4 linked regions of the Elephas maximus indicus genome follow. The protein of the gene in region 2 purifies or fractionates together with the protein of the main gene of each other region. This does not show direct contact. Links are inferred from orthologs where the notes say so. Each region holds a gene or a part of one and is shown on either strand. Other genes may lie near its edges.

The links.
Region 1: the proteins of ANAPC1 (region 2) and CDC27 purify together in Homo sapiens (affinity purification with mass spectrometry; 16 studies listed by BioGRID and IntAct, with this or other methods). This does not show direct contact. The link is inferred for Elephas maximus indicus from reciprocal best matches to the Homo sapiens genes ANAPC1 and CDC27.
Region 3: the proteins of ANAPC1 (region 2) and CDC26 purify together in Homo sapiens (co-immunoprecipitation; 6 studies listed by BioGRID and IntAct, with this or other methods). This does not show direct contact. The link is inferred for Elephas maximus indicus from reciprocal best matches to the Homo sapiens genes ANAPC1 and CDC26.
Region 4: the proteins of ANAPC1 (region 2) and ANAPC7 fractionate together in Homo sapiens (co-fractionation; 6 studies listed by BioGRID and IntAct, with this or other methods). This does not show direct contact. The link is inferred for Elephas maximus indicus from reciprocal best matches to the Homo sapiens genes ANAPC1 and ANAPC7.

Annotation. Positions count from the first base shown.
Region 1 is NC_064837.1:53,067,082-53,073,950, forward strand, and holds the start of CDC27 (cell division cycle protein 27 homolog), read right to left. Parts: upstream 3,001-6,869; 5' UTR 2,755-3,000; coding exon 2,728-2,754; intron 1-2,727. UniProt on the Homo sapiens protein: Component of the anaphase promoting complex/cyclosome (APC/C), a cell cycle-regulated E3 ubiquitin ligase that controls progression through mitosis and the G1 phase of the cell cycle.
Region 2 is NC_064835.1:40,984,957-40,992,515, reverse strand, and holds the start of ANAPC1 (anaphase-promoting complex subunit 1), read left to right. Parts: upstream 1-4,555; 5' UTR 4,556-4,808; intron 4,809-6,789; 5' UTR 6,790-6,813; coding exon 6,814-7,026; intron 7,027-7,559. UniProt on the Homo sapiens protein: Component of the anaphase promoting complex/cyclosome (APC/C), a cell cycle-regulated E3 ubiquitin ligase that controls progression through mitosis and the G1 phase of the cell cycle.
Region 3 is NC_064827.1:62,535,120-62,542,499, reverse strand, and holds the start of CDC26 (anaphase-promoting complex subunit CDC26), read left to right. Parts: upstream 1-4,365; 5' UTR 4,366-4,495; intron 4,496-6,403; 5' UTR 6,404-6,496; intron 6,497-7,380. Other genes in the region: PRPF4 (U4/U6 small nuclear ribonucleoprotein Prp4), read right to left, coding at 1,163-1,349, 3,170-3,353, 3,908-4,051. UniProt on the Homo sapiens protein: Component of the anaphase promoting complex/cyclosome (APC/C), a cell cycle-regulated E3 ubiquitin ligase that controls progression through mitosis and the G1 phase of the cell cycle.
Region 4 is NC_064840.1:9,000,901-9,008,534, reverse strand, and holds the start of ANAPC7 (anaphase-promoting complex subunit 7), read left to right. Parts: upstream 1-4,630; 5' UTR 4,631-4,713; coding exon 4,714-4,814; intron 4,815-7,634. UniProt on the Homo sapiens protein: Component of the anaphase promoting complex/cyclosome (APC/C), a cell cycle-regulated E3 ubiquitin ligase that controls progression through mitosis and the G1 phase of the cell cycle.

The sequences.
Region 1 (6,869 bases), on a different chromosome or scaffold from region 2:
ATAAAATATATTCAGAAAATTTTTTTTTACTCCTATTGCATAAAACAATTTAACTCAAACTGTTCACATGCATCTTTGACATCAGTATCTATTATCATCAGAGCCACTTTTTTTAGTTATCTAACATGATCTTCCAGAGTATACCACCCTCAATTCTAAATTACGTGAAATATGGTACTTTGAATCCATGTTAGATGCTTTCCCTGGACATCTGACCCCAAGCTAAAAGTACTCCTACACTATCTAGTGATCTCCACATTGACACTGTACATATAGTACCCATGTACTACACTCCTTATGAAGGTGATTTCTGAGGCATGTTTAAACTTCATCCGACACTTCTAACTACGAAGTGCTCCCCCAGGAATAACTGTTAAATCTATATGGCTTTGCCTTTTTATGAAAAACCAATTTCATCGGGTGACTTTTATAAACAGCCAGCCCAGTACTGACTAAAGTCATTTAGAGTAATGTGTCTTCCCCCAAACAGTTACTATTAAAAATAAAATAACTGATAGAGCTTCTGCCTCATAATATGAGAGATTTTTATAAAAACTCAAATATAATAATTTTCTATGAGAGGTAATTTGGCAGAGGAGTGACTCCATCATATTTAGGCACATATACTATATCAGACTGACTCTTCCAAGCTAAAACTTTAAAGGAAAAAAAAAGTAGAAAATATTTGCTCATCTTTCCTCTCAATTTTTTCCTTTGCTGAGTAATACTATGAACCCTGAGGCATCCCAATAAAGGAAACAAAGTAATTTTCCAACTTACTCCCACTCCTTCCCAGATATATGCACATTATACTTTAAAAAAATATTTATAAAAACAAATCATATCCATCAGTCCTATTTTTATTCTCTTCCATAGTAATTCTTTCCCATTTTCAGCGCTATCCTTCATAATTTGATCTTTATCACCACAGCTCAAGCTGCTTGGTCCTCTCACTGCTCAAGATGCCTTCTTGAGTGGCTTCCTTTTATACTATAAATAACACCCAAAATTCTCACCTAGTCATATTCTAAAACTCATTACCACCATCCCAGAATGAACAAAGCTAGTGGGGGAAAAAGAGCTTAATTTGACTTTTAATCCTTAAAAGTATCTAAGTGCATACTGCTAAGAGTACTTTAAGAAAACAGAAAAACCTGATGGGCACTATCTTGGAATAGGCTACCTATTTCTTTTCTTTTCCATGCTTTTATACAGGTTGGTATTATTACTAAATAGTAGTTCTATGCCATTAATGAAACTGTTTTACCACTTAGAAGTTTCTGGGGTCAGAGAAAACAAATGATAAGAAGATAAAAATCACAAGCATATGAAACAGAAATTAGGCAATTTAAGTAATATGTTTAGCTATTTAAGAAGGTACAGATAGCAACTTCTAATCTCCTGTTAGGTCCAAAAAACTCTTAAAAGGGATTCTTTATTAGTAAGAGGAATTTGAATGGAAAGAAATAACTTTCGAAGCAATGGTAGAACTAACTTGTAAACAAGTAAATTTCCTACAATAGAATCCCACAATACATCAATTTGAACACTAATAGCTGCTATATGTAAAGAGCTAGAGAAGAAGGCAAACTAGGAGAAATGAGTATTTCATGCCATGAAGAAAAACTAAGGAAATATGGAAGTAGTGATGTATTAAAGTATTTACTATTAGATACCACAGGCCTATTAGGGACAATATGAAGTAACTTCTAAAAACCAGTTCACTTTGTAACTCTAAAATAAAGAAAATCCACTACTCAATGACAGCAGTTGATAGAGGTCAACTCTTCCAATCAAGTCAAAGATCATATGGTGGGTTGAAAGTCCCCCAAACCTGGTCGATCACCAAGGGACACAAGATTCAGTTTCTTCGATGGAAGGAGGAAAATGACTTGGCACTGCATTCCACACTTAAAATCCAGTAGGCTTTCTTTGATGCCAACAGAGCACTGTGTGTCAAAGCATACCTTGCTATGTTGAAGACAATGAAATGGAAAAGCCATTACTAGTCTTTCGTTTCCCAAACAGTTTATAAACGTGCACGATAAAATACTCCTGACCCTCATCACAGGTAGTGGGGGGGGTAAAAAAACCTCCCGGACTTGGTGTTTCTACCCCCCCTTCCTTTTGGATAGGTGCTTGCACCTCAGCACTGGCCTTAAGAGCTCTCTTCTTGGAATTGTCCTGTGGAAAATTCACTCAATGAGAAAAGCAACGTGGACTAGAAAGGCTGTGACCAAAACAGAAATTAGTATTAAAAATGCCGATCTTACCCTCCCCTTCCACCCTCTCATGTAAAACAAAAACAACCCCCGCAAACTTGCCCCACACCATTATGAGGATCACACAAGCTCCGATCAAAGGTGATTCTCAACTGCCCTTCAGGCAGGAGAACACCTGGGGCGAGTTTTCGGCCCCTCATCTCTCACCCCCGGCTCGGCCAGGCCCCTAGACTGACAGGAGGGGCTGGCCAGACGTCGGCTCCGAGGGGAAAGGCGGTATTGTAGCCGCACCCTGCTCAGGTTAGGGTAGAAGTATTGTAGGACCGGGGTGTCAAGGTTTAGGTTGCGGGCAAGGCCGCCGCACTGACGAAGGGACAGGCAGGAGCCGGCATCAGGGGAGGCGGGAGAAGCAGCCCGGCCTAGGCCGCACCAGGCCGCGGAGTGGCCATACGCTGCTTCCTGGCCGAGGCTGCGAGCCGAGCTTCGAAGAAGGGGTTATCATTACCTGGACGGGTTCCTGCAGCACCGTCATCCTTGAGGCTCAAGCCCACTTTCTGCTGTGCCTCAGGCCCCCCCCCGTAGCGGCTCCGGCCCGGCCAGCCCCGGCTCATTTAAACTCACCAGCGACCGTTACCGGGGGATGGGGGAGGCCGAGCAATTGCCGAGTCCCTCCGAGCGAGACACGGAAATACCCGAAGTGAAAAGCGACGAGCGGGAGCTAGACGGGAAGGCCCGAAAGGGACCGGAAATAGCCGAGGAGAAGTGGCGGCGGAGGAGACCGTTGCCGGAAACTGTCGAGGATTACCGGAGTTTACCGAGACGGACCCAGAGCAAAGGTTCGCCATCTCAGCCACGCCCCCACCCGCCCACGTCACGCCCCATTGGCCACCAGAAGGCCGGGCCACACCCAATCGGCAACCACCAGGGTGGGCGAGGCTTGACGGAACTGAAGGGGCGCGTTACTTGGTGGGGCTGTAGTTTCGATTCGCTACTCTTTCTGCATTAGTTGGCGCGCGGTAATTTTAAGCAAAGAGTAGAATCCTAAGAGTTTGGAGCTGACGTTAATTAACCAAGAAGTATTTGTGTGTTGAGTTTAGTAGTCACTCTGTCCCAGCTCAGAGGAATATCGCCAGAAATTTGGAAGGATCGCCCTCCCGAAAGAGTATGGCCTTAAGGAAATTACAGTCTACTTAAAAAAAAAAAAGGTTTTTTTCTTTTTTTAAGGGAAAAGCAGTGTAACAAAGAGCACTACATTATGTGGTGCTCATTAGAAATGATGTGAAAATTCAGAGGCGAGGGAAATTAATCGGGACTGAAGATGAAGTTTTCATGAAAGGAAATTTAAACTGGACTTGAAAGGATGGGTAGTAGTAGAAGAAAAGAAAGCGTGTGTAAGTGAAGGGAGGAAGAGCTACCAGTCTGGTAAGAGTTAAGGCATTAACTGGAAATAGTTACCTAGGTGACCAGATGATGGAGAATCTCAAAAGGTGTGATAGGAGAGGCATTCTCATCTATCGGAAAGAGCGTGGGATTGAAAATCCAGAGTTCTGGTTTTGAATTTCATCTCTGGCACTAACTGGCTTTGGGTCCTTAGGCAAGTCACAACTTTTCTGAGCTTCTATTTGCTTGGTCTGAGAAAAAAATGAAAGACTAAAAGAATTATGTACGTTAATATATGTGGCTGTGTCTAGTACACATACGCTCTCTCAAAGTTCCTTTCTGCCAAATGAAAAATGAGGGGGTCAGGGAACTACTAAAACTTTGTTTTGTTTTTCAGAAGATGAAAAATTTTTTAAGGTTAATTGTCTAAGTGCATCTGTAGGCTAGTTGTAGCACTCACGGTGCACTCCATTTTGCAGAAAATCCTCTTTCTGGTTCTCACATTTTTATGCAGATGAAATCAAGTTAGAAGTGGGGGTGCTACTTAAAATGTGGAAGTGGTTTTGTAATTGGGTAATGGATGAAGGCTGGAAGAGTTTTAAGGTGCCTAATTGTAAAAGCCTAGATTACCTTGAAGAGAGTGTTGGTAGAATTACGGATGTCAAAAGCAGTTCCGGTGAGGGCTCAACAGGAAGTGAGAGCTATTGGGGAAGTCTCTATCATCTTAGAGAAGAGACAGGGACCTTCCTCCAGAATGGGCAGGGAGAGAATGCCTTCTCCTAGAGCCAAAGCCAGCAGCCTGAATTTGGACATCTAGCCTCCCAAGCTGTGAGAAAATAAGTTTCTGTTTGTTAAAGCCACCCATTTGTGGTATTTCTGTTATAGCAGCACTAGATAACTAAGACAGGGCCCCCTTCCTTTTGGTGATGTCGGAGGGAGGTCTTTTTAAAAAACCAAAAACCACCAGCTGATAGAGCTGTATCTTTCTCTAACCATGTCTAGTTACTGTTTATGTACTTGTAGTCTTGTAAAAGACAGGTCCTAAGGTGATTTTCTGCTGCCCTGTGCCTTGTTCTTTTAGCAAGATTATGTTAAACTAAAGAAGCCCTGGCAGTGAAAATGGTTAAGTGCTCGGCTGCTGACTTAATGGTTCTGTGAGTGAAAGACCTGGTGATCTGCTCCCATAAAGATAACAGCCAAGAAAGCCCAATGGGGTAGTTCACTCCATAACATATGGGATTGCTATAAATTGGAATCAACTCGATAGCACCCAGCAACATGTTAGATTAATTAGAATGGGAATAGACTTCTACTTTGTCCAATACGGTATTGTTATTGTTCGCTGACTCGTAGCAACCCATTATGACCGAGTAGAACTGCCCCATAAGGTTTCCTAGGCTATAATCTTTCTGGGAGCAGATCACCAGGTCTTTCTCTCACAGAGCTGTTGGGTGAGTTCAAACCACCAACCTTTCAGTTAGCAGCTGAACGCTTAACCTTTGCACCACCAGGGCTCCTTTCCAATATGGTGGTCACCAGCTATTTAAAGTTTAATTAATTAAAATTAAATTAGAAACTTAGTTCTTCAGTGGCCTGAGCCACATTCTAAGGTCTTATAGACATAAATGGCTGCAATATTGGACAATACAGATGTAGAACATTACCATTGTTGCAGAAAGTTCTATCAGATAGCACTGGAAAAAAAAAATTAATGATACTAGTTAAAATTTAATGAGCATTTACCATGTTCCCAGCACTATTCCAAACTCTTTGGATTAATTCTTTTAACAACTTAACAGAGGTAGGTTCTGTTTTTAGCTGCATTTTATAGATGAAGAAAATGAAGGTAAATAATTTCCCCAAGGTCAAACAAATAGATTCAAACTCAGGCAATCTGGCTTCACCTTCCATACTTAAGGACCATGCTATGCCATGGAGAATAATTTATAAACCAAACCCCATCCAGTCAATTCTAACTCATAAGGATCCTATAGATGATGGATAATAATTAGGAGCTCATATTAGTGATCCTGGTGTTTCAGTTGCCTGTTGATCTTCTTTCCCTACACACTCACCCCAAAACTTAGTGGCTTATAACTGTAGCCATTTTATTGTTCATGATTCTGTGAATGAGGGATTCAGGCAGAGTTCTGTGGGGCAGCTCATTCTGGCTCCATGTGGTGTGTTTGACTGGGGCTGGAAGATCCAAGATGGTTTCACTTGTCTGGGATCTTGGTGCTAGCAGTTGGCTGCACCCCTCAGTTCTCTTCCAGGTGACCTTTTTCCTCACGTGGTCTGTCGTCTATCCCCAGCTTCTTGACTTGAGTGGCTGACAACCAAGAAGACAAAAACAGAAACTGCAAGACCCCTTAAGGCCTAGGTTTTAAGTCAAACCCCATCACTTTTTGTTGGTCAGAATAAGACGGAGGGCCAGCCCGTATTCATTAGGAAGAGGAACAGACTCCACCTTTTGATTCAAGGATTGACAAAGTGTTGCTGCCAAAGGCTTGTGAGATGGGAGGGATTGCTGGGCTATCTTTGGAAACAATCTACCACACCAGATCTGAGATGACATCTCCTGATAGTGGGCATGGAAAGAAAGGGATGGATAAGAGATGTTACTTTTTAAAATTTGACCGTTTTAACTAAACACAAGGTATCTTTGGGTGGCACAAACAATTAAGCACTCAACTACTAGCTGAAAGGTTGGCAGCTCAAATGCACCCAGAGGCACCTCAGAAGACAGGCCAGGAGATCTGCTTCTGAAAGGTCACAGCCTTGAACATTCTATGGAGCAGTTCTACTCTGGATATATGGGGTCACCATGAGTTGGAATTGACTCGACAACAATAACAACGATTAAATACTCCAGATTTGTTCTGATCAGTTCAGAATGCAGAATGTTATGGATAGAATCATGTCCCCCCAAAATGTGTGTCAACTCGGCTAGTCCATGATTCCCAGTATTGTCATCTGATGTTATTTTGCTATGTGTTGTAAATCCTACCTCCATGGTATTAATGAAGCAGGATTAGTGCTAGCCATGTTAATGAAGCAGGACTCAATCTACAAGATTAAGTTGTGTCTTTAGTCAATCTCTTTTGAGATATAAAAGATAGAAGTGAGTAGAGAGACATGGGAACCTCCTATCACCAACAATCAAGATCCAGGAGAAAGGCGCGTCCTTTGGACCCAGGGTGCCAATACTTGAAAAGCTCCTTGATGGGGAAATATTGATGACAAAGACTTTCCCCCAGAGCCTATAGA
Region 2 (7,559 bases):
GCCTTTTCCAAAACACTGACTCGAAAAGGGAAGCAAGACTAGGACTCGTATGGGTTCGGTGGAGACAACAGAGTAATGAATATTTAGTGGGCTTCTTTCAAGAGGCGGGTACTTCTCAGAATGGCAGTGTATATTAATTAGGTTGTGTGCATCTGGAATCTAAGATGGAACCCGCTGATATTCAAGATGGAGTCCTCTCGGCAGCCTTTGGCTCACTTATTATGGGATATAGCACAAGCACACTTGATCTTCGGCACTACATCGCCATCTTTGGAGAGCTAAGGAAGGTCAAAGAGCAGTCACACTCTGCTCCTCTGTGCGTGTGGAGCCTGCAAAGGAGAAGGGGACTAGATAGTACTTCACTACTGCCTCAATCTTATCTCATGTTGACAGGGTGGGTTCCTGTTTACCCAAATTTTGGATGGTAATCTTTTAAAAGCTAGTTTGTTCCACCAGCACAGTTAACCTTATCTGTTTCAGAAGGTCTGAGTGGAGACAGCTGCGAGGGCTCAGAGGCGAGGAAAAGCCCTTGTATAAAGGGGCTCCACACATCCCACGTTTCACTCCCTTGGCTAAAAAGGGTAGTTTAAGGCCTTAAACTTACTTATCAGATAGATATTAGAGACTATACTAGGCAGCTTCTGAGATGGTACCCAATGGTACCTGCTTCCTTGTGTAATCTCCTTCCCTCAAGTGTAACTTGCTTCTAACCCTCCAAGGGGATGGAATGTCACTCCTGTGATTAGATTATATAAGACCGTGACTTACATCTTGCTAGCAGACCCTCAGAAATAAACGGCCATGTTGGGGAGCTCCACATGGCAAGGAACTGTGAGTGGCCTCTAGGAGCTGAGGTGGCCTCTGGCTGACAGCAAAAATTTGAGGCCCTCAGTCTTACAACCACAAGGAACTGAATTCTGAGTAAGCCTCAAAGGACACAAAACCCCAGCCAACTCATTGCGTGCAATCTGTTGAGACTTTAAGCAGAGGACTGAGCTAGGCCATGCTTGGACTCCTGACCCACAGAAATGGTGACATAAAAAATGTGTGTTGTTTTAAGCCATAAAGTTTCTGCTACTATTATTATGCAGCAAATGATAATAATACAGTCTTATATTTTGCAAAAAATTGATTAAAATTTAGAAATAGGGATTTTATTGTTTTTTTTGCATAGCAATTATATATGTGGAGTTTTGCTAATTATCGGGGGTGTTTACACCAACAGAAGAGATCTATTTTATAATACTGGGTATACCTGTGACAACTGTTTTTTAGTATGTGTCATGGATTGAGTTATGTCCCCCCAAAAATGTGTGTATCGATTTGGTTAGGCCATGATTCCCAGTATTGTGTGGTTGTCCTCCATTTTGGGACTGTAATTTTATGTTGAGAGGATTAGGGTGGGATTGTAACACCACCCTTACTCAGGTCACCTCCCTGATCCAAAGTCAAGGGAGTTTCCCTGGGGTGTGGCCTGCACCACCTTTAATCTCTCAAGAGATAAAAAGAAAGGGAAGCAAGCAGAGAGTTGGGGACCTCAAGCCACCAAGACAGCAGTCCCGGGAGCTGACCGCTTCCTTTGGATCTGACATTCCTGTGCTGAGATGCTCCCAGTCCAAGGGAAGACTGATGCATCACAAGGACTTTCCTCCAGGGCCGACAGAGAGAGAAAGCTTTCCCCTGGAGTTGGCATCCTGAATTCAGACTTCTGGCCTACTGGACTGTGAGAGAATAAACTTCTCTTTGTTAAAGCCATCCACTTGTGATATTTCTGTTACAGCAGCACTAGATGACTAAGACAGTATGCTTCAGTTGACTTCAAGTTTTGTGAATCATATACTAGAAAATTGAATATATTCATAAAATATGGTTGTTAACCCACTTACCATATAAATGAACTGGCAGTGAACTCTATTATTTTCCCTTTCCTTTGTACCCTGACTTTTGGGTCCTTTGTATCCAAAATGTAATTTCAGGAACTCTTAAGGTAATTTGAGGAGGCCTGGTAGTGCAGTGGTTAAAGAACTCAGCTGCCAACCAAAAGGTCAGCTGTTTGAACTCACCAGCTGCTCCACTGAAGAAATATGTGGCAATCTGCTTCTGTAAAGGCTGTAGCCTTAGAAACCCTATGAGGCAGTTCCACTCTGTGCATTAGGGTCATTATGAATTGGAATCAACTTGATGGCAATGGATTTTTAAGGTAGTTTATTTGGAAGCCACAGTTAAAGTGCAGTGAGTTGGCTGTCTGGCCTAGGAAACTCCTGGATTTATGGTTCGAGCCCCATGAGCAGAGGGGTTAGTGGCAGAAGCAGAAGGATTTGCTTACTTAAGAAACTGTCAGATCATGAGTCCAAGTAATGCTGTTAGTGACAACGCTGTTAGACCGATGTCTGACCATGAGTGTTGCAAGGAGCAGTGGGGCCAGTTCTGCTGTTCTGCAGGGAACACAGCAATGTTCTAGCCCCAAAGGACTGACTGGTGGTCTCTGGGAGTACTGGAGGGGAGCTATCGGTGTAGACCCTGGTGTCCTCACAGTGGACATCATCAGGTAAGGCCTCAGGGAGGCCCCTTAAGAAAATTTCTTGAGCAGGCAAGATAACTTGAACAGGCAAGGGAAAAAGCTGGGTAAATCCTTTCAGTGACTCTACTTCACAGCTGGATAATTAGCAGTATAAAAACACTCTTTGTGGACTGTACTGCCTGAATTCCTTAGAAAAGGGAGCCAGAGGCAAGAATGATTAGTGCTGATGCTTCATGTGGGTGGTTCAATCTCTAGACCGAAGAGAATGAATGAAATGGGAAAATGAGGCAGGGGAGCTTGAGAAGTAATGCACTGGATTCTGCTTCATGGGACGCCAAAGCCTCAGCAGACTGCCTGGCAGGTGCGCCACTCTGCCGCACAGGACATGTCCTGACAGGTATGCAGAAAAACCAGGCCTTAGAGTAGTTCACAGGAGGGAGGAAGAAAAGGGATTTTATACATCTGGCTCCTTCCTGCTTGTTCCTATTGATGGACATTTGCCTTGATCACAAATTACTCCCTATACTTTAGGTTATGTCTTCTGGCCCTTTCATAAGGCAGCTGCCATTCCCTGTGGGGGAGGCAGGAGAAGCCATAGTTGAGTTTTAGGGAGTGCCACGCATTGTCCTGGCTTCACAGCAGCAGCCAACGGAGAGGGCTTTGTCCTCTGTGGCGAGTGCCTGGTAGTGGGGCTGACAGGACTAGTGCAACCATGGGTGGCCTTTGGGGCAGGCCATGGTGGCAGCTGAGGTGGACAAGAGGCTGAGGATCTGGAGGATGGTGGCAATAAGAGACTCTGAGATGCATCTGAGGTGTGTCCTGGTGCAGGTTCTACCAGAAAGACCTGGTGGAGAAGGAAGGTAGGGACCCTGTGGGGGGAAATACATAAAGGATAAGAGAGGGCATTTGGGATATGATTGTTAACTTGACCTCATTTTATCGTCGAGCCAGGAAAGTCTGGTGGTATTTTGATTTCAGGTAAATGACTGGTGAAAGGCAGTTGTGCCCAAAGTTCTGAGAAACGAAAGGCTCCTTCCTGTTGGTGTGAAGCCTCCTGAGAAGAGACACTTGAGCTGAACCCTGAAGGGTGACATGCTAAGTAAGGCATGGCAATGAATACAGAGAGTAAGGCCATGAAGTGCAAGGTGTGTTTGGGGAATCCCAGTAGATGCTTTTAGCGAAGTCATAAAGTTTTAGCCAACTTTACATTTCTGGGTAAGCATTTGAAGTTTATTCCTAAGCACTAAGAGGCCTGTCAATAGTTTTAACTTGGCAATACGGGATTGTTGTTGTTAGCTGCTGTAAAGTCAGACTGACTCATGGGAACTCTATGCATTACAGAGTAGAACTCCTCCACAGGGTTTTCTTGTCTGTAATCTTTACAGAAGGAGATCCTCAGGCCTTTCTTTCATGGCGCTTCCATGGTTCCAACCACCAACCTTAGGTTAGCAACGCATTGCAAACCGCTCGTGCCACCCTGGCTCCTAATTGGGATTAGAGCTCAAGAAAGTTTCTGGTTTCCATAAATGTGATATTGTACAGTTGAACCCAGACAGGGAGGGGGGGTAAGGCTGGAGTTCTTAACCTGGGTCTCTGAATCACCTGTGAACCTCTGAAATTGCACGTTTTTTGTTAGAGCCTTCATACCTTTCACCAACTTTTCAAGGAGTCTGGATGCCTTGTGGTGCAGATTCACTCACGTAGAACGAAGATGAGCAGGGCCCCAGAGCCTGGAGGCACGTACCTCCATTTGGGGCCAAGGAGGCAGAAGCAAAAGCAGCCAGAAAATCTCATAACTCAGAGTCAGGTGGCAGTTCAAGCTCGTAGTGACATGATCTAGAGAAGATCTGCGTCAGGAGGGTGCCATCACACGTAGATTCTTGGAGTCGCTCCCGCTTCGGGACTCAGTGCTGCCTCTTAAGGCGGTTGGAGGTAAGGTCTTCGTGTTCTTCAGGCAACTGCGCAGGCGCCAAGGCCGCCGGGCGCCGCGCGCCTCCCGCGGTGCCCGAACCGCCCCGGCGCGAGGGAAGACGGGAAAGTCAAGATGGTCGTGTCAATTTAAACAGCTTCCGGAGCTGCTCGCCGGCACGTCAGCCTGCTGTTAGCTGTCGCGCCTGGTACTGCAGCCCCTTTTGCCTCCGGAGTAGGGGAGAGAGAGGGATGAGAATCAACGAAGGCTGAGGAGTCACCGTGACCGACCCCGCCGCTGTCCTCAGGCCCCTCCGGCCCCCGCGCCTCCGGGGAGCAGCCGAGGCTCGCCGCGCCTGACGCGTCCCGAGTCACACAGGTGCGGGTGCGGGGCTGCGGAGCCCAGCGGTCCACCTCCCGCCGCGCGCCCCGGGACCCTCATCCCCGCCCCGATGCCGGCCGGTGCCTGCTGACCAGAGGGCTGGGAGGCGGGTGGTGGGCTCCGACGGCCTTGAGGGCTGTACTTTTTGGGTGCGCCTTCCCGGTCTCCTCCTCGCTAACCAGTCTCTCGATGAAGCCCAATCCCTCTGAGCGGATTCTCTGAGGCCTGGGTTCTTAGCCCGCTGCCTTAGTCGCCTGCCAGAGGGGCCGAGAAGCTTTGTCTTTTTGCTGAGACTCAAGCCAGGGATCGTTGTGTGCACACCGTTCAGTCTTACGTTAGGTTCTGTTAGACTTTTAGGGGGAGAAATTGGTCACAAACTCATTGTTAGGCCAGCCCTCTGCTCCCTTTTCAGGATGATCTTTTAATCTCATGTAGGAAAAATTTTGATTTTTGTCATATTAATTTAACATAGTACGTTTCTGTATAGCTTTTTGTGTTGCCACTAAGTCAAGTAAAAACACATTTATAAAAGTTCGGGGTACTGTGAAAGTATTAAATTTGTGTTCATAATCTCAGAACGAAAGTAATGTACTGGGAAAGTAATTCTAGAGTTTTCCCTGCAGTGAAAAGAGAATAACGTTACAAAATTACACGAACTTGGATAAAGTCACAAGTTCTTTTATATCGGTTATCCTTTGGAACAGGGTATAGGAAGACCAGCTGAATTTTGTTATTGTAAGTTTTATAAAGCGTTATTTTAGTTATGTCCAAAGTTGAAGTGACTTTGTTCTCAGTACTGATTTCTAGCAGTAGAGAAGAAACGAACTTGGGTTGTGTTTTGCACTGTACAGTAATCTCAGGACTACCTTTTAATTCACAGTGGAGTAACTTAACCACTCTAAAGGAACTGCACAGGCTTTGAGGTGTTTGTGCAGCACAGAAAACAAACAACTGATGCCAAAAAGACCTGAGATGAGAAGTCTCAGCCAAATCTAATGAAATCCTCTTACTTGTGAGCACTGTTTTAAAATGTGCTTTCTAAAAGTTGTCTACGGTGCTGACATTGGATGTTTGCCTTGACGTTTGTGTTTGAGGATTGCAGCCTAAATATGATGCCATGAGATCCATTTTTAAGGCAGTCCTGTTGCAGACAGAACCGAAATCCACCTCGTATGCCATGTTATGCAGTGTCAGAATTTTACCAGTTGTCAGTTACTTATGTAGAAATATTTGGGAGGTAGAGGGGCACGTCTTGACCCACAGCTCATTCAAATCTGCCAGTAAATCTAATAAACTGCAATAAATTTTGCTAATTAAAAGCTAGGACTCTTAAATCTGCTGTTAAGTCAGATATAAGCCTTCTGTTTCATGGGTAGAGTTACGTATGCCTTGGTTCCCTGGGTTTGGACCAGTAAGTGGGGTGTAGTTATAGATTTAGGTGGAATTGGGGTGTCAAAACTACTGATGACATTTTGATAGCTTATTAGATCTTTTGTGGATTGGTTAACTGAAAGCAGTAGTTCAACCTCTGATGAATTAGAGTAATATGTTTTATCTCATTCCAAATGCCATCAAGCCTTTAGGTGTGCTTTTTGAATTAGACTCCAGTATCTGAGCAGAAATGACCTTGAATGTTGAGAAGCCATGCAGTCGTGGGACCATAAAGTACAATGTGTTTTCATACCTTCTGTGTGAAGTATAGAAACGTTATGGGGTAGCTGTGGGACATGAGTGCTTGTCTTGACTCAATGGTTTCCTACAGTGGTAGGTTTATTTTTCAGCTAGTGTGTGACTAACGTGACATCTACCTGTGAGAGTCAGATCTGGAATGCCCTTTGATGTCAGGATTACTTATATACCGACAACAAAATGGAATTATTTGATACTCATCAAAAGATTGATGACTGTAAACTCTTATGGTATTTTTAGTCTGATTTTGACTCTAGAAGCTCACCAGAATGTGTTTGAATTCCTACAGAAATAATGTTGATATTTGGAACCCATGTCGAACGTCTATGAAGAAAGGGCAACGATGATTGCAGCCAGGGATTTGCAGGAATTTGTCCCTTTTGGTCGAGACCACTGCAAGCACCATCCCAATGCTTTGAACCTTCAGCTTCGCCAGCTGCAGCCAGCCTCTGAGCTATGGTCCTCTGATGGTGCTGCTGGCTTGGTGGGATCCCTTCAGGAGGTCACAATCCACGAGAAACAGAAGGTTCCATTAATTTTCCCATCATATTTTTGTAGAGTGATGTAATATAATTGTAATTTAAGGCTCCCCTTAAATTGCAACTGAGAAATGAGTATAATGTTACTTCTAGGGTGGTGGTTAAAACTTGGCCATTTCCATCAAGGCTAAGATAATGACTTTATTGTATCAGTGTCATGGCTACTTATTTTGTCATATGTAACTCACTGTGATTTTATGATGAGAATCAAGCTCTTTACTGTGATTGTGCACCATTTAAAATCTCTTTTTACTTAGTTTGTACTGACTGGATCTCATGTTATTTGGGGATGAGTTGGGAGAGGTTTAGAAATAGCCCCTGATGAAAAAGACCTACATGTTTTTAGAGGAGAGAAGAAATATCATGTCAGTAGGTAGAGCAGTAGTTCTTAAGTAGGGAAATGTAAAATAAGTGTGTCAGAAAATCATAACCCCTGTCACCTTACTCCATTTTCATATGTCCCATTGGGGAATACCAAAATCTCAGGGAGGGGAAGTCTGAATATAAAACTCACTCTCTT
Region 3 (7,380 bases), on a different chromosome or scaffold from region 2:
GAGGCGAGGAAGATTTTCAGCCAAGAACTGTGTGAATGGTAGAGCCATTTGCTAGGAGAATAGAAGGGGGTGGGGAACAGATGAGTTCAATTTACACATGTCAAGTTTGAGATGCCTTTGGGATACCTAGGCTTACTAACAGAGATTTGGGAGTCATCAGAATATACACAGCAAATGATGCCACATGAATGGATCTGATTGCCCAGGATGAGTATAGGGTGAAAGCAACGGACTACAGCATACAAACGTTGACAGGTGCCACTGAGCTGGTTCCAACTTACAGCAACCCTATGTACAACGGAACACACTGCTCGGCCCTGTGCCATCTTCACAATTGTTGCTAGTTTGAGCTCACTATTAAACAGGAAAAAAGAGGCCTAGAAGGCAAGTGAGAAGAGTTACCCAGGGACAGGAAGAAAATCAGGAAGATGTAGTCTTATGAAAATCAAGGACAGAGTGTTTCAAGAAGGGAGTGGCTGGCATAGTACTCGGACTATATCAGTAAAGATGGGTTGGTGACCTTGATAAAGAGCAATTTCAATGTAGTAGGGTAACTTGACAACAACAGAGCTCAATCAGTTTGCAGTGGGCTGAGGAGTAAATGAGCAGTTAGGAACTGAAGAGAGTAAATGTACATAACTCTTTGAAGAAGGTGAAGGGGAGAAAAGGCACAGCAGTTAGTGATGGATGTGGAGACAAGAGACAGTTTTCCTAACTGCATATGACTAGTATATCCATAAAACTTTTCAACCTTAAATTACAAGAAGAGCAATATCTTAGGAGAGTGCCCTTCATTAATATCTAAAAAAATTTATTGTGTTTTATGTAGGTGACAAGAAATATATTTGACGTCTAAATTTTCAAAGCTCAGCCACAAATGTCACCCAACTCTAAGCTGTGCGTGTGTGTGTGCGCTGCGGGGGGGAAGCAGGAGAGAAGCACGTTAGTACCTTCTTCACAGCTTATAAAAAAAATTACTAGTGGTGTAAAAATTGTTCTAAGATTCAAATTATGGGCTAAACTATATAAACGCAACTTAATATGTCAATACTATTGGAGACATTGTATTAGAGTTTCAGCTACGAAGACTGACAAATTTGGAACTAGAACCTTGTGATTAAAAAAAAAAGAAGAGTAAATATTTAGGAATTAGGAAGGGCACCTCTCTCTTCTTTCAGCAGGGCCCTCTCCAAAAAGTGTGATGGGTTCTCCCAAGGCTCTAAGGCAAGCCTTGACCTCTGAGTCATCTGTGGAAACATTGATTTGCCGGGCTCGCTTTCTTCTCTCAAACTCAGCCAATACTTCTGCCTGTCGCTCACTGATGTGTTCTTCAATTTCAAACACTTCTCCTATAAAAAGAACGGGCAACTTCAGTATAATCACCAGATCTTCAAATAGAAAGAGATAATTTCTAACAACTGTCGTCTACGTATGCCACTAGGGAAAGGCAACTGTCCAGTCTAGTACACGTTTTATAGATAGTTTACCATTTTTCAGTTTACTAAATTACGTCAAATACGTAAAACTAAATGACACAGCTTTAAAAGGCAGGAAAGTGGTTCAAGTCATTTTGGCAACCTTACACCTAATAAAAACACATAACTTAGATGGGATCAGAGGGTAAGGATACAAATCCCCGAAACTATGGCCCCTGAACACTCTGCTAACCCAGAACTGAAAACATTCCTGCAACCCACTTTTCAAACAAAAATTAGACAGGCTATAAAACAAAATAACACCCGTGAGACCAAAAGGGCAACTCTTGTTCAAGAGCATGACGAGAAGGCAGGAAGGGACAGGAACTGGATGAATGAACATACGGAACCCAGAGTGGAAAGGGGGAGTGTGCTGTCACATGGTGGGGATTGCAACCAATGTCACAAAACAGTATGTCTATAAATTTCTGAATGAGAAATTTACTTGAACTGTAAACTTGCACCTAAAGCACAATTAAAAAAAAAAATACATGCTGGTATATCTAAAAAAATAACAAAATGTGAATGACAAGAAAAAAAAAAAAAAGGAGTATAAAACATCTTTACCAAAGCCCTTCTATCCAAAAGATAAAATAGAAACACTATTTTAGTAATTGCCAAAGTTACTCTCTAACAGTCCCAGTATAGCATAGAAATACAACTAGTTAACTGAAACTAATTACTATGAAGATGAGCTTTCCATGATTATAAGGCTTTTTACAACCTAACAACAAGTTTTAAAACCCAAACCAAATATGAGCATTTTGATGAAAAATAAGAGGTACAATAGTGATGCAATTGTGTTTGAAAACAGCATAAAAGGTTAATGGGAGGCTTGACAAGAAACTTTCTGCAGAGGAGTCTTCATTTTATATTCTTCTGTACCATTTAAATTTCTTATGACAACCGTGCATACTTTTATTTTAAAAAATACAGCAAACTCCTCGGTACTGACATGGAACAATACCCGCAGCAGCATACAGAGTGAAAACACAGGTTACAAAACAATTTGTACATCATGGTTTCATTTATGGAAAAAAAATATGTATTTTTATAGCTATATTAAAATTCTCAGAAAGATACCCAGTTGCCATAGAGTCGATTCAGAATCATGGTGACCCCATGTATGTAGGAATAGGATTACACTCCACAGGGTTTTCAATGGCTGATTTTTTGGAAGCAGATTGCCAGGCCTTTTTTGAGTAGCCTCTGGATGGATACACACCTAATTAATAAGGATCACGGGATTTTCTACTTCGTACATCTCTACATTTTTGATTTAACAAAAATAAAAACAGCTATTACTTTTATACTTAAAAAACACAGGTTTCACTCTGGCTGAAAAATAATTGGAAAACTAAAAAAAGGGAGAACGTTATGAACCACAATAGCTCCAAACCAATGCCACAACTATCCTAGCTCTCTAGAAGACAAACACAATCAATCTGAGCCCAAATACCTAAACATCTGAGTAAATTCCTAACAATCCACGGAACAAAAAACTGTATAAAAGATCCTAAGAAACAGGCTCTCCAAATGATGCTAAGGGTGGTAGGCAAAGTATGGCCTTACAGGTGCAAGTTTAAGAATTGAAAACTTTAGAGACCACAAAACTAGTGATAATTATCTAGGAAGGTATTCACTATAGAAAATTTGAGCATCAAACGTAAAGAGAGACTCAAATTGCATCTCACCAGAGGTTATGTTAATATTTCCAGCTTCGATTCCTGCTTTAAGTCCTTCTTTCCCCAAAATTCCAGACTCTCCTTTGGCCAGACGTTCCCTCTCCTTCTCTTCCAAACTTCCATAATAGATGTGGGGTTTCTTCACAACAGGAGCAACTAAGTCATCAGGTGCCTTAGAGGTTTTGGTTCCCTGCTAAACCAAAGAACTGAATTAATTTAAGGCTTAATCTTAGCAATCTACTAGGCGTCCCCAAAGCTCATCCTGAGCTTCAATCCTATTTCCTCCCCGAATGAAAGGGCAAGTTGGACACCAGTTAAGATGTTCTTCCCTGATTTGAAGGGTGTTTCCATCCCTCCATCACTTAAGTTTTGCAGACAGGTAGCAGAAGGTCGATAAAACTAATGAATTTCTCTTGGTGATTTTTCTATCAACGTTTTACTTTGGAATCTGTTTACTTCATGTCGGTTGGAAGTGCAATCTCTTCTTGGGTTTTATGAACCTTCTAAGATTATTGCTTATCACGAGGGAAACAGCAAGGATTTGGTTGAAATCTTTTGAATGAAAGGCTGGTTATTTGAATGAAATAGCTAACCAGGTGCTAACGTAAATTCCTGGTCTATACATTTCAAACGACAACAGATACGGGGTTAGGAGGCCTCATTACAACTGACATAGACGTGAATCTTGACCAAGACATTTCCCTCCTTCAGGTCTCCGCTTTGGGACCAGTCGGAGGAAGTGTTTACCGTTCCAGGGCTGTAGCGAGAGAGACGAAAGAGACCAAAGCGTATGAAAACGCTCAGGTACCAGGATAGCGCTGCTCGGCTCCATAATGGAACAATGAGTACCGCAGTCTCTCTCCCTCCTCCTCCCTCCACCGCCTTATCCATTTCCTAGCGGCCCCATCCTGCAGTAATCACTCGGCGCTCCCTGCCACAGTAAGCAGAGATTCCGAGTTCTGTACCGTGGAAGGAGGTCGTGAGGCGGCCATGCCGGGCTCTGGAGCCGCAAACTCCAGCGAAAACCGAGCGGTACGTTCAGACCGTCCACCGCGCGCCCAGCAAAGCGGAACTACGTCATCGACCGGAACTGGGCCTAGAACCGGCGCAGCGACTGGGGTAGCGCGGAGCTTGATGGGAATCGTAGTAGGGTAGATTCTCGTCACGTCTGGAGGCGTGACCTGTGCAGCTTCCGAGTAAACCACGCGGGAGACAAGAGTCTGCAGAGAGAGTCTCAGAGAAGTCTGGGAAGTGTAGTCCACTCGTTTTAGCGGTAGATTGGTGATGGGCGCTAAGGTTCCGGGAAGGGGCTGAGCTGAGCAGGCTTGAAAGGAGGTATGTGTATGCAGTGGCGCGACTCCGGGCTGAACCTTGGAGCTAATTGATGACTTCCGGGGCCTGCAGTCCCTCCTGGGCCTACGGGAGACTTTATGTTGTCCTGGAGCGGGGGACCTTGTTGCCGTGGAAACCATCGCCCTGAACCCCTGAGTGCTTCCCTGGCTCTGGAGGAGGGTTGTTGCCTGCTGTCCGGAAGCCCTCCTAAGGACTCCCTCTGAGTTGTGAATTTCTGGAGGATTTGGGCAGCGGCTGGAGATTAAGCTCGAAGAGCCCGTTAGCGCCAAAATAAAATACTGGGCGGAGGAGCCATGGCCTGATTTGGTTGTTAGCTCTCCACCGGTCTTTCTTTCAGATTCAGAGTGAGGTGATGGATATGAAGGGGACAGGTAAGGTATACACAGGCAACTCTCGGCACAGCCCTGTGCCCTGCTGCGTGCTGGGGCATCAGAGATTATACAAAACAAGGTTTTTGCACTCACAGGGTGAATGAGGGAGCCTCAGAATACTGGTGTTAGCGGAGCTGGATGGAGGCGCCCCTCTACTGAGGAAAATTACGATAATAATGAAACCAAAAACCAGTTGCTGTGGAAACATACTGACATGTGGTGACCCCAAGTGTGTTACAGTAGAGCTGCGCTCCATAGGGTTTTCAGTGGCTGATTTTTCGGAAGTAGATCACCAGGCCTTTCTTCTGAGGCAGCTCTAGGCATACGCCAACCGCCAACCTTTCCTTTTGCCCTCTAGCGTTGGCGTTTCCTAAATGCCAAATTATGTGCCAGGAGGTTGATCTGCCTTATGTCATTCAGTCGTTACCACAGAGTACAGATACAGGGAAGGAAACTAAGGTCTAGTGAGAGCTGATACTAATTGTTCACCGTCAGTGGCAGAGTGGGAGCCCCAGCACTTTTAAACCATTCCTCTACACAACTTCCTAGTGTCCAGCTTTTCAGTCTGCAGAAAAGCTAAGAAAACTTATAGCACTTTTTTCTCTTAAGTATTTACCCTTCCTTCCGCCTCATGCTTTCTTTGGAAATTTGGCTTCTTCTACCACTTGTTTACATTGGAATCTGGTAGAAGAGTCTATCTGATTTAGTGCAAAGCAGTTTGAAATGTAATGTGCCAGAGTTTTATGTTGGTAATATCAGTCCCAAGCTTCATGGGAAGAGGAAACATACCTTTATTTGCATACTTCACAGTCCCTAGCTACAAATAAAAATTTATGTCTGCACATACTTATAAAGGGCATTCTTTTACACTATTCTCATTTAATCCTCATCCTGTGATGTATGTGTGATTATAGGAGGCCCACATTATTAGCCAAAATTGAACAGCTTGCTTCAACTTCTTTATCTGAAAAATGGGGATAATTTTGTCAGCTTCACAGGGTTTCTGTGAAGATTAAACTAAGAATGTAAAGAAAGGAGAGGAAAATCTTAGAACAGTACTCAAAAAAAGTTCATCTCACGTTCTCTATTAGATCTCTCATTTTATTCAACAAGTATTTACTGACTACTTGATAAAAATACATTCTACTGGATGCTGTGGAGAATGTAAAGATAATGCCATCAACAGATGTTAAACTCAGTTGTGGGAGTTTTGTTTTCTTCTCAAAAAATACTTGTTCTTTTTGTTAACACAAGTATTACCTTGGGTTCTTAGACTGTGTAGTACTCTCTTAAGCCTCTGCAAACTCCTATCTGCCTGGAATGCCTTTAGTCCCCTTTCTCTGCTTGTCCTTCAGAACTGAACTAAGACGTCCTCTTCACTAGGAAGCCCTCCTGACATTCCTGCCCACCCCACGTTCAACTGGGTTTAGGTGCCTCTGTGATGCCATTGTATTAGCCTCATCAGAGTTCTTGTTATTCTGTGTCGTAATTTTCTGTTTCCTTGACTGTTTCCCCACAGACTGTGTCCTTTAACTCTGTAGCTGAAACACAAGAAGCGTTCACTGAATAAATGACTTATCCATTCAGACTCTGAGGATAATCCTGTGAACTGGTGAGTTAGAGGGAGTTTTCATGAAATGTAGCAAACTTCAGTGTTCTGGAGTGATCAGAAATCTCTGACAATTCTCATGTCTAGTGGATTAAACTTAATGGCATGTCCACTCTCCCACTTCTTGTTCGGTGCCGTCGAGTCGTGTCCGACTCGTAGCGACCCTTTGTACAGCAAAACGAAACGCTGCCTGCTCCTCTGCCATCCTCACAATCGTTGCTATGCTTGAGCCCATTGTTGCAACCACTGTGGCAGTCCATCTTATTGAGGGTCTTACTCTCTGGCTGACCCTCTACTTTACCAAGCATGATGTCCTTCTCCAGGGACTGGCCCCTCATGATAGCATGTCCAAAGTACGTGAGGTGAAGTTTCACCATCCTCACTTCTAAGGAGCTTTCTGGCTGTACTTCTTCCAAGACAGATTTGTTCATTGTTCTGGCAGTCCAATATTCTTCACCAACACCATAATTCAAAGGCACCCATTTTTCTTTGGTCTTCCTTATTCATAGTCCACCTTTTGCATGCATATAAGGAGGTTGAAAATACGATGGCTTGAGTCACGTGCACCTTAGTTCTCAAAGTAACATCTTCGCTTTTTAACACCTTAAAGTAAGAAAGAAAAGACCAAGGTGGATGTCAGAGGAGACTCTGATACTTGCTCTTGAGCATCGAGCAGCTAAAGCAAAAGGAAGAATTGATGAAGTAAAAGAACTGAACAGAAGATTTCAAAGGGCCTCTCGAGAAGACAAAGTAAAGTATTATAATGACATGTGCAAAGAGCTGGAGATGAAAAACCAAAAGGGGAGAACATGCTCAGCGTTTCTCAAGCTGAAAGAACTGAAGAAAAAATTCAAGCCTCGAGTTGCAATAGTTAAGAATTCCATGGG
Region 4 (7,634 bases), on a different chromosome or scaffold from region 2:
AAGCAGACTGCCACACCTTTCTCCCACGGAGCGGCTGGTGGCTTTGAACCACTGACCTTTAGGTTAGCAGCTGAGTGCTTAACCTCTGAGCCACAAGGGTTCCTTATGTAACCTATGTGTTTTTATTTTTTGAAAGCTTCATTGACGTATAATTTACATACAGTAAAATTCACCCATTGTAAGTGTACAATTCAATGATTCTTAGTAAATTTACAGAGTTGTGCCGCCATCACCACAATCCAGTTTTAGAACATTTCTGTCAACCCAAAGTGACCCCCGTGTGGTCAATCCTCACTCCCCCACCCAGCCAGACAACCACTAATCTACTTTCTGAGACATTTCATAGAAATGGATGCATAGACTATGTGGTCTTTCACCTCTGGTGGCTTTCACTTAGCATGATTTTCAGAATAATTTTTTTTTTCAGATCCATTCATGTTTTGGCTGTACTTTATTCCCTTTTATCGCTGAATACTGTTTCATTGTATATGCCACAGTTTATCTATTCATCAGTTGATGGACATTTGGATTATTTCCACTTTTTGGCTATTATCAGATGTGGTTTTACTTACAAAATATTTCAAATGTAGAAAAATATATAATAGCAAACATGTAGTGCTTAGGAGTCGCTGGGTGGCGCAAACAGTTAAGCGCTTGACTATAACCAGAAGATTGGTGATTTAAACCAACACAGAGGTGCCTTGCAAGAAAGGCCTACAATCTGCTTCCAAAAGATAAAACCCCGTTGCCATCGAATCAATTCTGACTCACAGCAACCCTATAGGACAGACTGAAACTACCCCATAGGGTTTCCAAGGCTATAATCTTTACGGAAGCAAACTGCCCCATCTTTCTCCCTCAGAGAAGCTGGCATGTTCAAACCGCCAACCGTTCTGTTAGCAGCCAAGTGCTTGACCTTTGTGCCACCAGGGCTCCCTTCCAAACTGTAACAGCCTTGAAAGCTGCGGAGCATAGCTCTACTCTGCAACACATGGGGTCACCATGAGTTGGAATCAACTCTACAGCAAAGATTTTGGTTTGTTTTTTTTATATGGCCCTTTTTCTTTTACTATGTGCCAGACATTGCTCTGAGCGTGTTAGATACAGTGGTATACTTAGCAAGTTTGACACCCAGAGTAGATAATTTTTACACCTCCTATATCGACTCAAGGGCACTGGGTTTTTTTTTGGGTATGTTAAAGTACATGACAAAATTACTTTTAGCAATGATCCTGAAATGAAAGAAGTAATCGTAATGGCCAGAAAATAACCAATGAAAACATATTTTATCTGAATTTCATCTAAATAATGACAGTAAAAATTTAATAAATATTACAGTATAAAAAGGTAATGGCTTAAAACTTAAAAATTTTTTTCAACAAAAAACAAACCTGTATTTTATTCATTGGTCTGGCACAGAAATAAATATTAGTTTCTATTTTTGTTCCTCAAATTCTGCAACCTTGTCGATCATTTTGTCAAAACTGATTGTCTTGGCATATTCGTACTCAATGAGCGGTAAAAAAAAGTCATCAATCACTGTAGCACAAGCTCATAGGTTATTAAAAAAACACTTATTAATTTTACTTTCAAAGCACCAGATATGCAAAGTTATGAAAAGTCGTAAACATAAGGATAAATTTGTGGAGATTAATAAAAGCCCCATTTCACAATAAATTCCAAAGAGCCACAGGTCATATTTTTTTGGTAAGAAGTGGAGAATATTCCTACTCTGTTTAGCTCAAACATCTAACCTGCCTCGTTCAATTTTCTCCCTGGCCCTCATACGCATCTGAAGTGGCGATCTAATATATTTTGCCACTGTGTAATTAGGTGTTTTGGAAACAGCCATTTAAATATCTGGCACAAAATTTAAGCAGGCGGCCTCAGTTTCTCCACCTGTAAAAAGATAACAATTTCAACCTTACAGACTGATTTGTGAGCAACCCATTCAATGCAATAACTGGTGTAAAACTTTTGTAAAATGTCAACTGTGTTAGACAAATGCTGGCTATTATGAGTACCAGCTCATTTTTGGACGCGCCTTCTTCATTCACTGTGAGCTAGCGAGTCATTTCACAGGGTAAAACTGCCCTTTCGCACGGAAGGCAGCTATCCAGGAGGGGATGTCTGACTCCCCAAGAACGCACGAAACACCTGCCAGGAGGGGGTGTGGCGCCTTCAGTCTAGTGCGCAAGCGCAACAGGAAGAGCAGTTAGGACTGCCCCTGGCGCCTGCTTAAAATATTTAACTCCAGCTTAAAAAAAAAAAAAAAAAAAAATTTTTAATTTTTTTTATTGAGGATTTATTTTAGGTGGACTCGTGGGGTGACACCAAGGACGTCATACCTGAAGAATGCAAAAGATCATTAAAAAGACAGAAAAGAAAGGCCAAAACGGATGTCAGAAAGGACTCTGAAACTTGCTCTTGAAGGTAAAGTAAGTCAAGCAAATGGAAAAAATGACATGAAAGAGCTGAACAGAAGATTTCAAAGAGCAGCTCAAGAAGACGAAGTATTATAATGAAATGTTCAAAGATCTTGAATTAGAAAACCAAAAGGAAAAAACATGCTCAACGTTTCTCAAGCTGAAAGAACTGAAGAAAAATTCAACCCTAGATTTGAAATACTGAAACACTATGGGCAAGATATTTAATGATGCAGGAAGCACCAAGAGAAGATGGAAGATGAAAGGAATACACAGAGTCACTGTACCAAAAAGGACTGGGCGACATTCAACCATTTAAGGAGGTAGTGTATGTTCAAGAACCGATGGTATTAAAAGAAGTTTGAGCTGCACTGAAGTCATTGGTGAAAAACAAGGCTCCAGGAATTAACAGAATACCAGTTGCAATATTTCAACAAACAAATGCAGGGATGCAATCCTGGAAGCACTCACTTGTCTATGTCAAGAAATTTGGTAGATAACTACCTGGCCGACTGACTGGAAGAGATCCATATCTGTGCCGATTCCAAAGAAAGGTGATCCAATAGGAAGTGGAAATTATCAATGTCATTAATATCACATGTAAATAAAATTTTGCTGAAGATAATTAAAAACCGGTTGCAACAGCACATCAACAGGGAACTGCCAGAAATTCAAGCTGGACTCAAAAGAGGATGTGGAATGAGGGATATCATTGCTGATGTCAGATGGATCTTTGCTAAAAGCGGAGTATACCAAAAAGATGTTTACCTTGTTTTATTGACTATGCAAAGGCATTTGATGGTGTGGATCATAACAAGTTATGGATAACATTGCAAAGAGTGGGAATTCCAGAACACTTCTTTGTGCTCATGGGGAAACTGTACATAGACCAAGAGGCAGTCATTCAAACAGAACACAGGGATACTCCCTGGTTTAAAATCAGGAAGGGTGTGCATCAGAGTTGTATCCTTTCACCGCACTTATTGAATCTGTATGTACTGAGCAAATAATCCGAGAAGCTGGACCGTATGAAGAAGAACTGGGCATTGGGATTGGAGGAAGACTCATCAACAGTCTATGACATGCAGATGGCACAACCTTGCTTGCAGAAGGCAAAGAGGACTTGAAGCACTTACTGATGAAGATCAAAGACCACAGCCTTTAGTATGGATTACACCCCAACATAAAGAAAACAAAAATTCTCACTACTGGACCTATAGGCAATATCATGATAAATGGAGATAACCCTGAAGTTGTCAAGTATTTCATTTTACTTGGATCCACAATCAACACCCATGGAAGCAGCAGTCAAGAAATCATATGACATATTGCATTGGACAAATCCACTGCAAAAGACCTCTTTAAAGTGTTAAAAAGCAAAGATGTCACTTTGAGGACTAAGGTGTGCTTGACTCAAGCCACAGTATTTTCAATCACCTCATATGCATGCTAAGCCTGGGCAATGAATAAGTCAGACCAAAGAATTGATGCCCTTGATTTACGATTTTGGAGAATATTAAATGTACCATGAACTACTAGAATGAACAAATCTTTCTCGGGAGAAGTACAACCCGAACGCTCCTGAGAAGGAAGGATGGTGAGACTTGGCTTTACGTACTTCGGACATATCGTCAGGAAGGATATCATGCTTGGTGGAGGGTCAGCGAAAGAGAGGAAGACCCTCAAGATGGATCGACACAGTGGCTGCAAGAATAGGCTCAGGCATAGCAAGGATTGTGAGGATGGTGCAGGACCTGGCAGTGTTTTGTTCAGTTGTACACAGGGTCGCTATGAGTCAGAAGGGGCTGGATGGCACCTAACGACGACGACGTTGAAAATTTTTCAGCGCCCTACTGTATTTTTTCTACTTTTTCAAATTTGATTTTATTTATAATAAATGTGTATACATTAGTAATTAATTTTTGAGGTACACATTCCTCTCAGACTCATCTCACTTCAATTGAGCAATTATTCTTACTGAAAGGTGTTCGGTCCCTAGCCTAGCCCAATGTAAGCCCTCAATAAAGTTTGCGGATTAGGAATGATAACATAATTTTTCCTTACGGGGCGGAGGGGGGATTGCAAATCAAGCGCCCCAGTACGTCACAGGAGGCGCGGGGCGGCCAGGACCTGACTTTTTAAGCAGGCACTACGGAAGTCGCCTATTTTCTTGGAGGCGGTGCCTCACGTGGACCCGATGGACCCCGGCGGGGCCGCCATTTTGGAGGCCTCTCTAGGGCGCCTGTACCGGCCTTCGGTGCCGCTGCCTGCGGCTTCGTCGGGTAGAATGAACGTGATAGACCACGTGCGGGATATGGCGGCCGCGGGGCTGCACTCCAACGTGCGGCTCCTCAGCAGCTTGTTACTGACGATGAGTAACAATAACCCGTGAGTCGAGGCGGGGAGCGGCTGGGCTGAGACAAAGCGGCGCCGGTTTGGGAGCGGGGTGGAGCGGCCGCGGGCCCCAGGTGAGGCTCAGGTGTCAGCGAGGCCTCGTCGGCGGATCCGACGTGGGAGCGCACGGCGAGTTCGCTGGGATGAGCTCCCCGCGGAGGACTGCACGGCGGGAGGTTCCCAGGATTGCCCTGAAGGGGGTCCCCCGAAAGGATTGCCCTGGAGAGGGTCCCCCGAAAGTTGGGAGCGACCGGTTTGCTGAGGCACCTGGCGCCGAGCAGAGCGGCTGTCAGGCGTCGCTGGGCTGAATCCTGCCCTCCCGGCTCCTTCCGGAAGAACGTTTTCCCGCTCTCGGCAGCTCCAGGGGGCCCAGCCCCCTGCCTTTTATTCCTTTTTCCCACCCTTGGGATTGCCTTTCTCCTTTGAATGTCTCGCCTAGACAAGCCCCTGAAAACGGGCGGCTCCCTCGATGATCAGGTGGGAGTGGCGCCTCTTTATGTCAGGTCCCAGGACTCCCAGGAGATGCAGAGCGTGCCCCTTTCATATTCTCACAGCTGCCACTTACTGAGTCTTAGGATGGATGAAGCACCGGCCTCATTCCAGCTGTGATCGCATTGTCATTCCCCTGCTTAAAATCCTCCATTGTGCTCAACATAGCCTGCAAGGCCCAACCCGGCTTCATCTCCTTTGCTCTGCTCACTGCCTTCCAGCCCCCTCGACAGTTCTTTCTGTGACTTAAACGCATCAGGCTTGTTCTCACCTCTGGGCCTTTACACTGCTCTTCCTGCTGCTTCATTCAGTTTTCAGCTCAGATATCCCTCCTGGAGAGCCCTTCTCTGACCACTAGAATTGTCCCTTTTCCCTACTCTTCTAGCCGATTGCTCTGTTTTATTTTCTGCATCACTCTTGTCACTGATGAAGTTCTGTTATTTCATCTACATCTACCTCCCCTGCCAGACCGTAGGCATCATGAGGGCAGGAGCCCTATTAATTGCCTTCCCTGCTGTATCTTTAGCACTTAACCTGGTGTGCAGTAAGCACTCATGTGTTTATTAAGTGTGATAAGCAAGTGGGTACGATCTCTGGTGAAATACCTTGTCCAACTTCACACATTTAGTAGGTGGAGGATCCGGGATGGGACCTTGGTCCTCTCTGCCTCCGTGCTGACCCACCACAGCCTAAATGGCATTGTGGTTGAATTTCCTACTTAGCATGGACCCAGTGTGGTTGGTCTGCTCTAGAAGCAGTCTACGTCAGAAGGGAAAGGCCTTAAGTGCCTGTAGTGCAGCCACTGCTTCCCATTTCATTTCCATGAACGTGCTTTGGACTTCACTCTGTGAGACCCATCATTTTGCCACCATCCACTTAATGCTGACAGCAAGGAGCCCTGGCTTCTGTCAGCCTTCTGTGTTTATTCTGGAGCCTTTCACTTGCTCCAGAGTGATTTGCCAAAGCATATGGTTTCCACACTTGGGATTTATGCACCAGTTAGTCATTACTCATTGTTTCTTTTTCTTTTCTTTTTTTTTTAATTTATTTATTGGGCTTTAGGTGAAAGTTTACAAATCAAGTCAGTCTCTCATACAAAGAGCCGTACACACCCTGCCGTGTACTCCCAGCTGCACTCCCCTTAACGATACAGCACACTCCTCTTCTCCATCCTGTATTCCCCGTATCCATTCAACCAGCTCCTGTCCCCCTCTTCCTTCTCATCTCACCATCAGGCAGGAATCGCCCACATGGTCTCATGTGAGTCTAGGCCAATCCTTGTCTGTAGAGTTGGTTTCAGGAATGGTTCCAGTCTTGGGCTATCAAAGGGTCCGGGGTACTCATTGTTTCTTGAAGAAGTTATAGGATAGTCTGATCCTCGGGCTGCTCTTTAGTTAGCCTAGGCTTCTTCATATGAAGTTCGACTGGCAGCTTCCTAGCTTCTGCCTCTAGAGGAGAATATCAATAAAGAAGAGCAGACACAACATGTATCTATATATTTAAGTTCTAACCTTTATATTTTAAAATTTCTTACTGAATAGACAGTTACATGCTAATAGTTTAAAAAAAGTACAGAAAGGGTTGTTGTTAGTTGTCTCAGTAACAGAATGAAACTATTGCCCCGTGCTCTGTCATCTTATATGCAGATAGTGTCTGTCCCTAGCTCCTGAGCACCACACCACCATTCCCTTCTCCAGAGGCCACAGTTGTTAACAGTTTTTCATGTATCATTCCTGAGAGAACCTCACCTCTGCCCACATAAATAGGCGTGTATGTTACATTATATAAATACCTGAATGTGTTCTGTGTATATGATGATACTTTGTTCTTTATCCAAGCATCAGATACATACTTCTCACTAAATACATAGAATCTCAGAGTTGGAAGAAATCTGAAGTCATCTGCACTGTACCTTACAGTTCTTGAATTTCCTTTGTAACTTGATCTAGTGTTTAGCCTATCCTTTTTTTTTTATTATTATTTTTTATAAGGAGATAGAATTCACATAAGATAAAATTCAACCTCTAAACTGTCGAATTATATGGTTTTTAGTATATTCATAAGGTGTGTAACCATCACCACTACCTTAATTCCGGAACATTTGATCACCCTGCACAAAAAGAAATCCACACCCATTAGCAGTTACTCTCCATCTACCCTTCCCCAGCCCCTGGCAACCACTGCATATTTACTTTCTGTCCCTATTGTACCTGTTCTTGAATACACCTCCATTTGTTGAGAAACTCACTGTCTACAGAGTTCTTTCACTCACTCTGTTCTTTAATTTTAAGCAGCTATAGTTTCTACCTGTCAAAGAAAACCATG